3 linked regions of the Coturnix japonica genome follow. The protein of the gene in region 1 interacts with the protein of each later gene in a biochemical or structural test. Links are inferred from orthologs where the notes say so. Each region holds a gene or a part of one and is shown in the gene's direction. Other genes may lie near its edges.

Evidence for each region. The genes of interacting proteins can lie anywhere in the genome.
Region 2: the proteins of UBE2I (region 1) and USP36 form a complex in vitro, tested with the Homo sapiens proteins (2 studies listed by BioGRID). The link is inferred for Coturnix japonica from reciprocal best matches to the Homo sapiens genes UBE2I and USP36.
Region 3: the proteins of UBE2I (region 1) and RBBP8 form a complex in vitro, tested with the Homo sapiens proteins (2 studies listed by BioGRID, with this or other methods). The link is inferred for Coturnix japonica from reciprocal best matches to the Homo sapiens genes UBE2I and RBBP8.

What each region holds. Positions count from the first base shown.
Region 1 is NC_029529.1:7,278,600-7,282,871, forward strand, and holds the start of UBE2I (SUMO-conjugating enzyme UBC9), read left to right. Parts: upstream 1-1,472; 5' UTR 1,473-1,588; intron 1,589-1,781; exon of another isoform or gene 1,782-1,915; intron 1,916-2,309; exon of another isoform or gene 2,310-2,587; intron 2,588-4,272. UniProt on the Homo sapiens protein: Accepts the ubiquitin-like proteins SUMO1, SUMO2, SUMO3, SUMO4 and SUMO1P1/SUMO5 from the UBLE1A-UBLE1B E1 complex and catalyzes their covalent attachment to other proteins with the help of an E3 ligase such as RANBP2, CBX4 and ZNF451.
Region 2 is NC_029533.1:4,609,266-4,613,491, reverse strand, and holds the start of USP36 (ubiquitin carboxyl-terminal hydrolase 36), read left to right. Parts: upstream 1-1,425; 5' UTR 1,426-1,536; coding exon 1,537-1,539; intron 1,540-1,569; exon of another isoform or gene 1,570-1,674; intron 1,675-1,832; coding exon 1,833-2,097; intron 2,098-2,183; coding exon 2,184-2,396; intron 2,397-2,835; coding exon 2,836-2,946; intron 2,947-3,142; coding exon 3,143-3,245; intron 3,246-3,580; coding exon 3,581-3,648; intron 3,649-4,032; coding exon 4,033-4,103; intron 4,104-4,179; coding exon 4,180-4,226. Other genes in the region: TIMP2 (metalloproteinase inhibitor 2), read left to right, coding at 1-117. UniProt on the Homo sapiens protein: Deubiquitinase essential for the regulation of nucleolar structure and function. Required for cell and organism viability.
Region 3 is NC_029517.1:92,769,108-92,773,063, forward strand, and holds the start of RBBP8 (DNA endonuclease RBBP8), read left to right. Parts: upstream 1-1,155; 5' UTR 1,156-1,289; intron 1,290-3,956. UniProt on the Homo sapiens protein: Endonuclease that cooperates with the MRE11-RAD50-NBN (MRN) complex in DNA-end resection, the first step of double-strand break (DSB) repair through the homologous recombination (HR) pathway.

The sequences.
Region 1 (4,272 bases):
GGTGTAGCACTTCATTTAAATACAGAATGTTTTATTTCTCTGTAGTCATTCAAAGCAGCAAATCCTTTTCTGTTTCCTCAAAGACTTGATTACAGAAAAAGCCGTGCTTATTTGGAAGTACATCCACTGGGAAATTAAGGTATTTTCCTTTGTGTTTATACAGTCACTGATCATTATAGCAGGAAATTGTCCCTTCTGGGATGGGTATATAACCAAGAAGAGTGTCAAGTTTTAATTAATGACTTTGTGTATATTTTCTTTCATTCACGGAGCTAACAAATCAACCTGCCTAACCTCACTGATTACTTTTTGAATCCAGTATGTAGATTTTTAATAGAAATACTTATATCTGAAAAATGAATCTGAAAGTGACACTTTGTAATAAGAAATGTAAATAAGCCAATTAATGAATTCTGGAATCTTAGGGGGGTACACCATTAAGAATGAGGTGAATTTCATCTTAATAGTTTTAATCAGTTTTAAATGCAAAGCATGTTTAAAGTTTTCCTTACATCTTCCATTAGTGATGGTCAGGATGCTTTCTGTACACAGCTCTTCTCCATCTCTCCTCCAGCATTTACTAGTTAAAAGGAATACAGTAACTAATGCCATAAGTATTTGTGCGTTAGGGTGAGAGAAGAAAGTTGGGCAGGAGGGCCCACAGAAAGAGAGACATCCTATTTTGCATCATTGTGCTGTGCAGTGGGGTAAAGCATGTATAGGAAAAGGAGATATTCATTCCAAGGGAAGACAATTCCTCTTGAATGAGAGAAGCTCAATGAAGATGGGGTGAGAATACGACAAGTGTTTTGAGGATCTGGTTTGTTTCTATTTTCTGAGACCAACCTGGGGAAGGTTCCTCCATCGTTTCTGTGGAGTTAAACCGAGATTAAATTGAAATGTGAGCGTGGATTGTTTAGAGAATAAATAAATCAAACCAGGGAAGGAGCTGCCGGAGCACTGGGCTCACCCTCCTGGTTAAACACGGGAGTGGCTGCACATTAGAACCCTCATTTAAGCTGCCTTTAAACCCTCAGCCCATGAAGGCTCCGCACCCATCCCTGCATCGCCGCCATAGTGTCTTTATCAGTAGAATTTGATAATTCCTGCCCTTGGTTTTTCACACAGAGCTTTGGCCTGATGACACCTTGCTTTGTGCTGTGTTATGGGTACTGACAGGAGATCATTGTTGTCCCATCAATATATAAGTGCTTATTTATGGCAATGCCTAATGATGGCAGAATGGAGGGGAAGATAAGCCATGGTTGGTATTAAGGCGCTATATACGGTGCAGTTCAATGGACAGACCATGGCCGGATGCTGCTCAGAGGTTTAAAGACCCGACATGTTTCGTTACATTAAACGTGAATGTTCCAAACAAACCCACAGCGACACGAACCCCCTGCAGGCGGGATGGCCCCGCCCCCTCCTGGCTCTGCCCAATGACAGCTCAGGGTCGACTCCCCATCCTCCAATCAGAGACGCGGGTGGTGGCGGTGGGCGGGTCCTATCGAGCTGAGGCGCAGTGGCCGGCCCCGCCGTGTTCTCGGGCCGGTTGTCGGGCACGGCTGACTCCACAGCGCCTGAGGTAAAAGTTCCGCCCGTGTTTCCGTGGCGGCTCGTCGTTGTGCCGGGCCGTGCTCGGATCCGCTCCGCCTCGTGTCGTTCCCCGCTCAGGCGCTGTCGGGCCGCCCGCAGGTCCTGCCGAACCGCGCCTGCGCAGCGGGACGGACGGGTCGGGCCGAGGGACACACGGCGATAAAGCGAACGGCACCGAGAGAGGGAGGGGGAGAGAGGAAGGGAGAGGGAGGGAAACTCCGGAGCAGAGACAAAGGGGGGGAGCGGAGCCGGGAACATCCGGGTCATTCGCCGCTGCCTCAATCCGGGACACACGCGGGTGCTGCGGCCGAGCACGGTGAGGCCTGGCCGGGAGCGGGGCCTGGGGCGGCGGGGCCCGGCCCGGTGCGGCCCGGCCCGGTGCGGCCTGGTCCGGTGCCTCGCGTTGCGGCGGTTCGCGGGCACGGCGGTTCCCGGCGGTTCCCGGTCGGCGCGGCCGGGCCTGACGGCGTCTGGCTGCCCAACTCGGGACGGCTCCGCTCTGTCCCTGCGCCGCGGCCCGCTCAGCTCTCGGCCGCCTACGGGGCGCACTCGGCGGCTGAGCTGCGTGCGCCGACCGGCTGCGCCCAGCGCTCCCCGCCCCGCCAATAGCTCGCCCGGCACACACAGGCCTCGGCCGCTCCGCGGGGCTCGCGAGACCAACGGCGGCGGCGGCGGCCGGGACAGCGCTGCGCCGCTCCGTGCTGGGCCGCCCCGCGGTTCCTTTTGTTGTTCTCGGAACTACCGTGCGGGTCGGTGCCGCCTGAGCCGCTTATTGCGCTGCAGACTTTGTGCGGCAGTTTTAGGCGCTGCGATTTGGTTCCACCTCAACCATTGAGTTTCTCTGACTGGAAAGGAAAGGAAAGGAAAGGAAAGGAAAGGAAAGGAAAGGAAAGGAAAGGAAAGGAAAGGAAAGGAAAGGAAAGGAAAGCTGCCCCGGCAAACAGCGCAGGTTTAACGATCCTTACAGCGTCTGCTTCTGATTCGTAATGTAATCGGTCTTAACGATTTGATTCATGTATTGATTTTTGAATGAATGGAGAATGAAGGAGCACGTTGTGTATATACAGATTTGTAATGGGGCAGGGATGCAGGCGCGGTGATCACTGTGCTATGGGAGCACTGTGCTGTGCTGGGGCTGCTGGATGGATGGCACAGCAGTGTGGGCTGGGTTTGGTCCCAGTGCAGGTAGTGCCAGCAACAGAGCTGAGCTACCAGCACTCTGGGAAGTTTCTAGTGAGTTGGTAGTGATAAATGGGCCGTTGGTACCTCCTGGTGCTGGTGTGTGCAGGAGGGAATAGTGCTAAATTGAATGGGAGGACAGAGATGGATTTTCTCCAGCTTAGAACTTGGTGTTCTTTCTAATGATGGACCTCTCCCATACAGTAAGTTGGGACTTAATTGTGTTCATTCAGTCACCTTCTCAGGTGAGGGAAGGAAAGTCAATGGGATGCAATATCTGAAACAAGTGTAAAAAAAAAATCCATAAACCAAGTGTTTAAAATCTGTTCCGTGGTGGCCGTTGTTCACCCTCCTGGAGTCACATGGGAGAACTGTGCAACTTTGAGATCAAAAACCTGTAGGAAAACTGCACCTCCCTCCCCCCAAAAAAATCTGGATTTCTGGTAAGGTGAAAATGAAGTTTGGATAGGGTTGGTTTGCTGGCTCAGTGCAGTCAGTCCATCTGCTGCACTCTGCCTGAAGATGATAATTGCAGTTATTTAAGTCCTGCCTGAGACATTGGAACCGGAGTCTTGCAGAAGAGGGAGAGCAAATACAGGCATTAGTTCAAGCTCAGACGGGGCTGAGCTGTTCTGTCCCAGTTGTGTTCAACATTACTAAATAATGAGGTGAAGTTTGACTATTGCTTGACATAATGAAAAACAAAAGTTCAAACCAAGAGCCACTAAACTTCATGTAGTTGTGGTAAGTTAAAAGTATCAGCTAATGATCAGCTAATGATTACTAATACATAAAACAGTGTAATAGAACTGATTTCTTCAAGGTGTTTAGGAGTCTCACTCTGGTTAGATGTGCCAGAAGTGACTGCTGTTAAATCCCTGGCAAGTATCAGTGTTTATCGGATTTCCATTACGTGGCCTTAATATTCAGGGGACTGGAATGGCAAATATTAAGTAGACTAAATATACGTACCTGGCAGCTAATTTGAGAATACAAATGCTTATCTCTTGGTCAGGGCTATCTTGATATCTCCTTGTTAATCATGATTGTAAAGTGTTCGGATTTGGTCTCCAGGTGCTAAAAGCACAGCTGAAATTCTGTCACATGTTCGTTGGTTAATTAAAATCTCTAGGAGGGGTGTGAGCTCATGGAATAAAATTCCTCCCCTTATAGTTTTGTTCTGGTTTCTCTTGGGATGCTCTGCTTCTCTTGCTGGACAGTTGGCTGAAAGCTGAAGTGTTATCTATGGTTCTGGTGTGAAGTCCTGCAAGTGTTCTTACATAACCAGGACACTGGTGTATGTATTGGGAACATGAGAATGAGTGCAGGCTTCTTTTGTGTGTGTTTACTGCACAGAGCATTAATGGTGCCTTCTAAAAAGCTTTAACTCTAGTTACGTTCTAGCAGGGATTGTACTATTGAAATGATGGACTGTGGATGTGCAGGCTGATCTGACTTAGGGAAAAAGAAGGGAGAGGAGAGAAGGAAGAAGGG
Region 2 (4,226 bases), on another chromosome or scaffold:
GTGGGCGGGCGGCAGGCCAAGCACTACGCCTGCATCAAGAGGAGCGACGGCTCATGCGCCTGGTACCGCGGCATGGCCCCCCCCAAGCAGGAGTTTCTCGACATCGAGGACCCCTAAGCCAACCGAGTGCATTCCAGTAGCCAGTAGGAAAGCCCAGCGAGATGTTAGACTGGTCCACGCTGACATCGGGGCCTGGAGACAGCATGAAAACCCACACAGCCCCGAGGGGCCGCAGGGCATGGAGCTGCCGTGTGTGCATGGGGCGGGGGGGGGGCTCACTGCAACCGTGCATACCCTGCAATACCTGCACCCTGCGACCCCATTCCCTGCAGGCTGAATGCTGATGAGCTGCCCTCGGTCTGCAGGGGCACAGCTGCCAACTGGAGCTACCCAGCACCAGCACCGTGCCGTCCTCCATCCCATCCCTTGCTGTGGGGTGCCAGAAGGGTGCAGCTTGGCACCAGCTGCTCCCACCTGCAGGAGCCATGGGGCTCTCACCCACTGTAGCCCTTAGGGGCCGAATGGGGTTCACCCCTCGGAGGAGAGGGGGATGGCTGCAGGACACCGACCCCACACCCCCCCTCTCTGAGCCATTTCCCCATACACACGGCCGGCCCCAGCTCGGGGTATTTCATGCTGTACATCCCCATAGGGTGACGATGTGGCTCTGGACCAGTCTGGGCAACTTGAAGGTGTTAAAAGAAACAGTGAAAGAAAGGAAAGAAAAAAAAAAAACAAGAAAAAAAAGAAAAAAAAAGAAAAAAAACAACCCCAACCAACCCCACCCAGCCTCTAATCAGTCCCATATAGGACTCCCGTTCGCTTCTGTATGGTTATATCATATGTGCCATTTACTCCTGTCTCTGCTGGTAGCCTGTCTCTGAGTTTAATACCCCCCACTGTTCTGCCATCAGCTCTATCATTCCCGTGCTGTGATTATTTTGTCGTTTGTTTGGTTTATTGTTTATTTTTGTCGGGGGTTTTTGGGTTTGATTTCGGGGTTTTATTTCCCCCTTTAGGCGTTAGAATTGCACTTATTTTTCTAAAGGGGCTCCACAGTGGGGCAAAAAGGGGGGGGTTGGGGGGGGGGGGGGAATGATGGAGGGGCTGTGGGGCAGCGCTGGGGCAGGCCCCAACCCCCGGCCCCCCCTAAAGCCCCCCCTTGGAGCCGCTTTAATTTATGGCCGTGGCTCTGCTTTGGGGTCAGCAGCTCGATGTGGTGTTTAAAAAAAGGAGGGGAAAAAAAAGAGGTTAAAAAAAAAGAGACAAAAAAGTTTACGTATAGTTATTTTCAGATCTCTGCTTGATAAGTATTAAAGTCAGATGTATCTAACGTGCTGCCGTGATTTAAAGCTGGGCTTGGGGGGTGGGTTTTTCTTGTTTTTTTGGGGGGGGGCGTGGCCATGTGATTATAGGGGCGTGCTTTGCGTTAGACCCTGCCCCCATAATGGGGGTGGTGCGGAAGTGGTTCGTGTCGGCGGCGCCACGCGGGAGCCGCCCATTGAAGGCGGTGACACGTGCGTGGACGGGACCCGGATGGTGCGTGTGGACCGGGCCGGGCCGGGGGGACGGGGCTGGGTGTACGGCGGGTGGTTCGGGGGGGGCGGGGGAGGTTCGGAGCCCGCGTGGTCTGTGCCGCATCTCTGCGCTGCGTGGGGCCGCTGCGGAGCGACGGTACCGGGCGGGGCGGCACGTGGTGGCGGGGCTCAAGGTCGCGGGTGGCGGTGGGGGCCGGGGATGGGGGAGAACGGAGCTAAATGGGGCTGAATGGGGCCGGATTCGGCCGCTCCTCGTGGCGCCCCCCGCTCACCCCCCCTCCGCCCATCCCCCAGCCCGGCCCCGCGATGCCGATCGTGGAGAAGCTGCGGGAGGCGCTGAAGCCGGGCCGCAAGGAGCCGAGCGAGGACGGGGAGCTGGGCCGGCTGCTGGCCGCCTCGGCCAAGAAGGTGCTGCTGCAAAGGATCGAGTTCGAGCCTGCGAGCCGTGGGCTGTCCGGGCAGCTGGAGCTGCTGCGGGGCAAGTACCGCCCGCTCAACGCCAGCACCGGGACCAACGCGCCCCGCCCGCCCCCACCGGAGGGGCCCAGCAGGAAGCACGGTGCGTGCCTCTCCCCAGGCAAATCGGAGTGTGTATATGGGGGGGGTCCCGGTGAAGCCCTCCGCTCACCGCCCTCCATCCCTCAGGAGGCGATCACGGACCCGGGGATGGTGTCCCCGCCCCGCAGAAGGTGCTGTTCCCCGCAGAGCGGCTCTCCTTGAAGTGGGAGCGTGTCCAGCGGGTGGGCGCCGGGCTGCACAACCTGGGCAATACCTGCTTCCTCAACGCCACCCTGCAGTGCCTCACCTACACGCCGCCCCTCGCCTGCTACCTGCTGTCCAAGGAGCACAGCCGTGCCTGTGAGTGGGGTGTGGGATAGTGCTGTAGGGCTGGGGGGGGGTTATATATGGGGGGAGGGCTGCCCTGGGCTGGGTTGGCCCCCAATGGCTGCAGAACTGCCTGGGGTGGTTCCTGGTGGCACGGCCCACAGCCTGTCGTCAGTGCCCCATTCATAAAGCTCAGCTCTGCCCTATATACAGACCTGCTGGCTTGTCTGGGAGGTGCTGGTGCCCTGTGTGCCACCCTTACAGATGGGTGTTCTCATCTGCAGCGTTATCTGTGACCTAGGCACTGCCAGCTGGTGTGTCATATGCTTGTCCTTGTCCCCTGGGCTGCACTGTGCTATAGCATTGAGCTCATGGGGAGGGCTGTGCTGCATGGCCACAGGGGTTCCCCTTCTCTCTCACCCCCTCCATCCCTCCTGCCTTTGTCCCCAGCGTCCTTTCTTCTCTCCTGCAGGTCACCAGGGAGGTTTCTGCATGATGTGCGTTATGCAGAACCACATGATCCAGGCTTTTGCCAACAGCGGCAACGCCATCAAGCCGGTGTCCTTCATCCGAGACCTCAAGAGTAAGGATGGGTCCTTCCACGCTGTGCTCCCCTGCTGTGACTCACGAGGCTGGGGCAGGTCCTGGCAGTGAGTGGCTCGGAGCTGATTCATGGAGGCTGAGCTGCCGCAGGACCACATGGGGCTGCCCCACAGCTTGGCTTTGGGGGGGGGCATAGAGGCTCTGTATGCAGGATTTGAGCCCTTTTTTCCCTGCAGAGATTGCCCGGCACTTTCGCTTTGGCAGCCAGGAGGATGCACACGAGTTCCTGCGTTACACCATCGATGCCATGCAGAAGGCCTGCCTGAGCGGCTGCACCAGGTACACACAGCTCTGAGTACTGGGGTACTGAGGCCATCTCTGCTCCATGATACAGCCCTGGGCTGTGCCCTGCTGTGGGGCTGAGACCCAGGGCACCAGCACTGCATCCACCTTCAGTGCAAGGCTCTGAGCTGCAGCTGGGAGCAACCATGCTTGGAGAGCATTGGGTACACACAGCCTGGTGCTCCCTGAGCTCAGGCACTGGGATCCACAAAACAGCAGAAGCACTGCATCTTCCCTGTCCTTATCACAGTCTGTGGTTGGTGCGGGACACAGGGGTGGCCTTTGCATTGTGGTGTGGAAGAGCAGTGATAGATGTGGTGTTTCTCTTCCAGGTTGGATCGCCAGACCCAGGCCACCACGCTGGTTCACCAGATCTTTGGTGGCTACCTGCGGTCCCGTGGTGAGTGCTGCTGCTGGGCTGCTGTTACCCCAACAGCTCTGCACTAAAAATCATTTGGGAAAATGGCCAAGCATGTGTAAATCACCCAAAGCTGTGCTTTGCCACTCCTGCCATGCCTGTGGGTCTTGGCTCCTGTTGTGGCAACACAGAAAGCTGTTGGCTGCGGGTCCTTGGCTCTTTGTCACTCATTGAAGGAACCAACGCTTGCAGCTGTTGAGCAACAATTGCTATGCCAGCAGCCTTCCTCCCTGCCAAGCTGCAAATGCCCAACAGAAATGTTGGTGCTGGCATCCCAGAGCCCAGACCCATAGAGGGGCAGCGCTGCAGCTGCTGAATGGCAGGTGCAGATGTAGCAGGGTGCACTCACTGCTCTTTCTTTTGCAGTGAAATGCTCCGTGTGTAAGAGTGTCTCAGATACCTACGACCCCTTCCTGGATGTGTCCTTGGAGATCAGGGTATGTCAGTGGGCACTGTGTTATGGTGTAGTGTGGACAGGTCACACATGCCCTGAGCTCTGCCCTGTCCTTGCAGCAAGCTGCAAACATCGTGCGGGCGCTGGAGCTGTTTGTGAAATCAGA
Region 3 (3,956 bases), on another chromosome or scaffold:
TGAAGTATTCTTGCCTCCCAGCCATGAATATGAAGCAGCACAGCTGCTGCTTACAGCCTGTGTGCAATTGTAGTAGAGCGGCTTCTGTATCCTTCAGAGAAGGGTGTTGCCTCACCAGTAGTTCCTCATGGTTATGGAAGCATGTCCCATACCCTCGGTGTTCTGCAATTTGTTTCACCTTGAAATATCATGTGTGGTAATTCAGAGCAGCTTATACTAACCCAGACCTCCATGGAAGGCGTGAGGTGTGCATTTCACAAGCAGGCTCCCAGGATCCTGTCCCTAACATATAGCAAAGCTATGCAGAGTTCTATACATACATGTAGATATGCTTAAGTACTTAGAGCAGGACTGTAATGGGGGTTAGAACAAAAAAAGGGGACAAACCCTTCAGCAAGATCTGTGGTGATAGGAAAAGAGGAAATGGTTTCAAACTGGAACAGGGGAGATTTAGATTGGATGTAAGGAAGAAGTTTTCTACAGTAAGGGTAGTGAAGCAGTGGAACAGGTTGCCCAGAGAGGTGGTGGATGCCCCATCCTTGGAGACATTCAAGGTCAGGTTGGAGGGGCTCTGAGCAACCTGCAGGGGACTAGATGACCTTTAAAGCTCCCTTCCAACTCAAACAACTCTGTGATTCTACGAAGCAAGGCTGAATTGGAGCCTAGTTTCTGTCTTTTCACACTCAAGATTTGGTGTTAGTACTACAAAAAAGGTATTTTCTGACAAATTTCCTTTTGCAGTCACACTGAGCAAGACCTCTAGCCCAGTGCATCAGCACATAAAACGAAAGAAATTTTATAACACCACAGTCTTGCTACACTTACCATGAATGTATCACTCCCTCACCCCTCTGTAAATTATTTTGCTGGAGGCTACATCATTCCCTCTGAGCAGCACGCCGCGAGCTGACGGAGGCGTGAGGCACGAAGCCTCCCCAGTGCTGAGCTGCAGCATGTTGGGCGGCCTTTGATGCAAACTGGTTGTGCTGGTTCCCGGCGCCCCAGGAACCGGTCAGACGAGCCTGTTATGCCAACAAATTCTGGTATGATTCCACACTCTCCAGAATGCAGAAACCTGCCCAGCCAGTTAAATGAAAGGCATATTAGGTTATCCATTGCACATTGTATATATCCTAGGAGCAGCAGATCTCCTCTCGGCACTCTCTAGTGTGGTCCACGGTGGCTTCCTCATCTTACTTACGCTTGAGGTTTATAGCTGGAGGGGAAGTCAATAGTAAACATTTATCACCCCGATCAGGAGCAGAACTTTGCACAATTCAAAGAGAAGGGTGAGTTTTGAAAGCCTTTATTTAAAATTAATTTAAGATAACCTTAAGAAAAAAAAAAAATTATCTGATGCTTAAAATGGTATAATGGCTTCTTACATATATGATCTCCTTAAGGTGTCTGGGTACTGCCAGCCTCTGTGGTGCTTGGTGACAGGATTTTGGGGAGAGCAGCTTTTTGACCCTTCTTGTGCTCAGCTCAACATCTGTCTGCTGGAGTATTTACTGGAGGCAGTTTAAGGGACCGTGCATGGACTGAGAGAGAAACTTCACTGCCAATGAGTTAGTACATAGAGTGTGTCACTTGAGTGTTACCTCTTGGTCTCCTCTTTCATACAGCGTATGTAAGCTAAGTCTTCTTGCTGTGAAGAGGTGTAGTGCGACTACAGCAAGATGTGCTATTACTGGTTCATGTTGGATTACTGTTTTTATTTAATTATTCAGTTTTATGAGGTGAGTTAATTAAAACTAGATTTACATGTTGAGAATTGGCTTCCTGGTAAAATAGGAAATGTGCTTGTCATTCTTACCGCTTCCTTTCTACATAATTACCAGAAGTTTTCCTGTTTAGAACATACCAGGTAACGGTGGTGGCAACAGCAACAAAAAGCAATCCTAGGCATAAAGAGCAGGCAAACCTGAAGGTTGTACCTGTATCAGCAAGTGAATCCATTCACAAGTATGGTGTCAAATAAGAAAAATTAAACAGTGTGAAAACAAAAGCTGTGGAATCTGGTAACTGATTAACTACTGGAGCACAGAAGCACTTGCTGAGCTGAACAGAAAGGAATGAAGACAGGTTTTGTCATGCCTGTTAGGACAAAATAACTCTTTACCTTCACTAAATGTGAATGTTCTCACCATCCATGTAACTGCATTTTTAAAAACCCTTTCACAGTTATTTCTGGCTCCCTGGGAGTCATAATTTAGTCTATCTTCAAGTGAAATTATTATGAGTTTTCTTTCATGATGTTAAAAATGTAAATAAATCAGTGTTCCCAGTGGACACAAGCTGCTAGATGCAAAAAGATCTGTACGGCATTAAGAAAGAAGTTATAGTAGTCACCTAACAGGAAGCTTCAGTTATGGAGGTATTTATTGCCTGCTATTTCCAGGTTGATTAAAAATGAACATTATTATCCTTCTGTAAAATACCAATCTAAAAAATCTCCTAAGCAGCTAAAAAACCCAACGAGTAGCAGATTAAATGATCTTCTCATTAGTCACATTGTATCTCTGTGTTAAAACTATTCTTCCAATATGAAGTAACACAAAGGACACAGAGATTCCCTAAAGTTTTACACTCCCCCAAAACATAAAAACAATAACAACATAATAATAATTTAAAAAAAAAGTTTAAATTTTATCATCATTGTCGATTTTCCTATTAAATACAGAAAGAAATTTTGCAAATTCTGCTCTCCAAAGGAAAAAAAAAAATGGAACTGGCTGAACTGCATGGTTTGAGCAGAGACTCTGTAGAACCTATAAAATGCTACAAGAGAGTTTTGATTTCTAAAGCTACAGTGCTGGAACACAGTACCTTTCTTAAAATTCAGACCAAATAAATCAGCTTTACAAAATACTGTTTGCCATCTTCTCTCTCTGCAATTTGTGTTCTGCTTTATTTGGGTTTTCTTAGCTGCTTCTCTTCTTTTCTCTTCTTTCTTTAGAAGTGGGGGGGGGGGGGGGGGAGGAAGGGGCTTGGAAGGCAGGGGCTGTTGTTCAGATATTTTTTCCCCCTAAAGGTAAGTAAAAAGTTTCCCATTGTGTTATTTTCCTGTCCTGAATTCTTGTCATTCACTACAGCAGAAGGTAGATGGCACGATTTTGTACACAGAGCTGTACATTTTTATTTCAGCCTTCCATGCTGAAATAGCTTTCCAGGGCTGAAATATATATGCAAAGCTATTCATGATTACTCATGACAACCTGAGAAATATCAGTTAGAGCAAAACATTTCTGCACACAGCTCACTCAAACAGGTGCTCTCCTTAGAGTCTGAGGGCTATGAACACTGCACTGTGGTCCTGAAACAGAATCCCTCAGGTCCTGGAATGGGTTTCTTCACCATCAAGACTCTCTAAAATATCTGTGAGTTTCAGCTGAACAAATTCAAGCTGCTTCTGACTACAGATGAGCAGTGAAAGCACTTCAAAGAAGAGAGTCCGTTAAAGTGAACATTGTTAGTGGCATCAGGGAATTTGATCTTGGCTCCATTTCAGAAGTGGCTACGCAAGCAGCTTGAGAAGAATCACATTCAGCTAGTGGGGGGTGATGGAGTGGCAGAAAAAGCAAATAATACCAGTGCCAGACAGCGCAATGGTATGCACTGCATGCATTCCCAGATGTATGAAATCATACCACTCAGAGGACCTCCACTTCCTGCACTCCTAGTCAAACCCTGTTTAGGGGGTTCAGGTAACAGCTGAACTGCCACAAGCTCCTATTCACTGCATACAAAGCTGGGCTCCTTTGATGTCTTCATTGGCAAATGCAACATAAAGTTCATGAAATGAACATGCCTAGATGTTTAGCAACATATTTATCCCTCTGTGCAGATCTGCATCTCAGGGAGGTTGGGAGCACACTGGCCATGGATGTGTATGTGGAATCTGCTAAATCTTATGTAAATAAATAAGGAGTTCACCAGTGTGTATATATATCTAT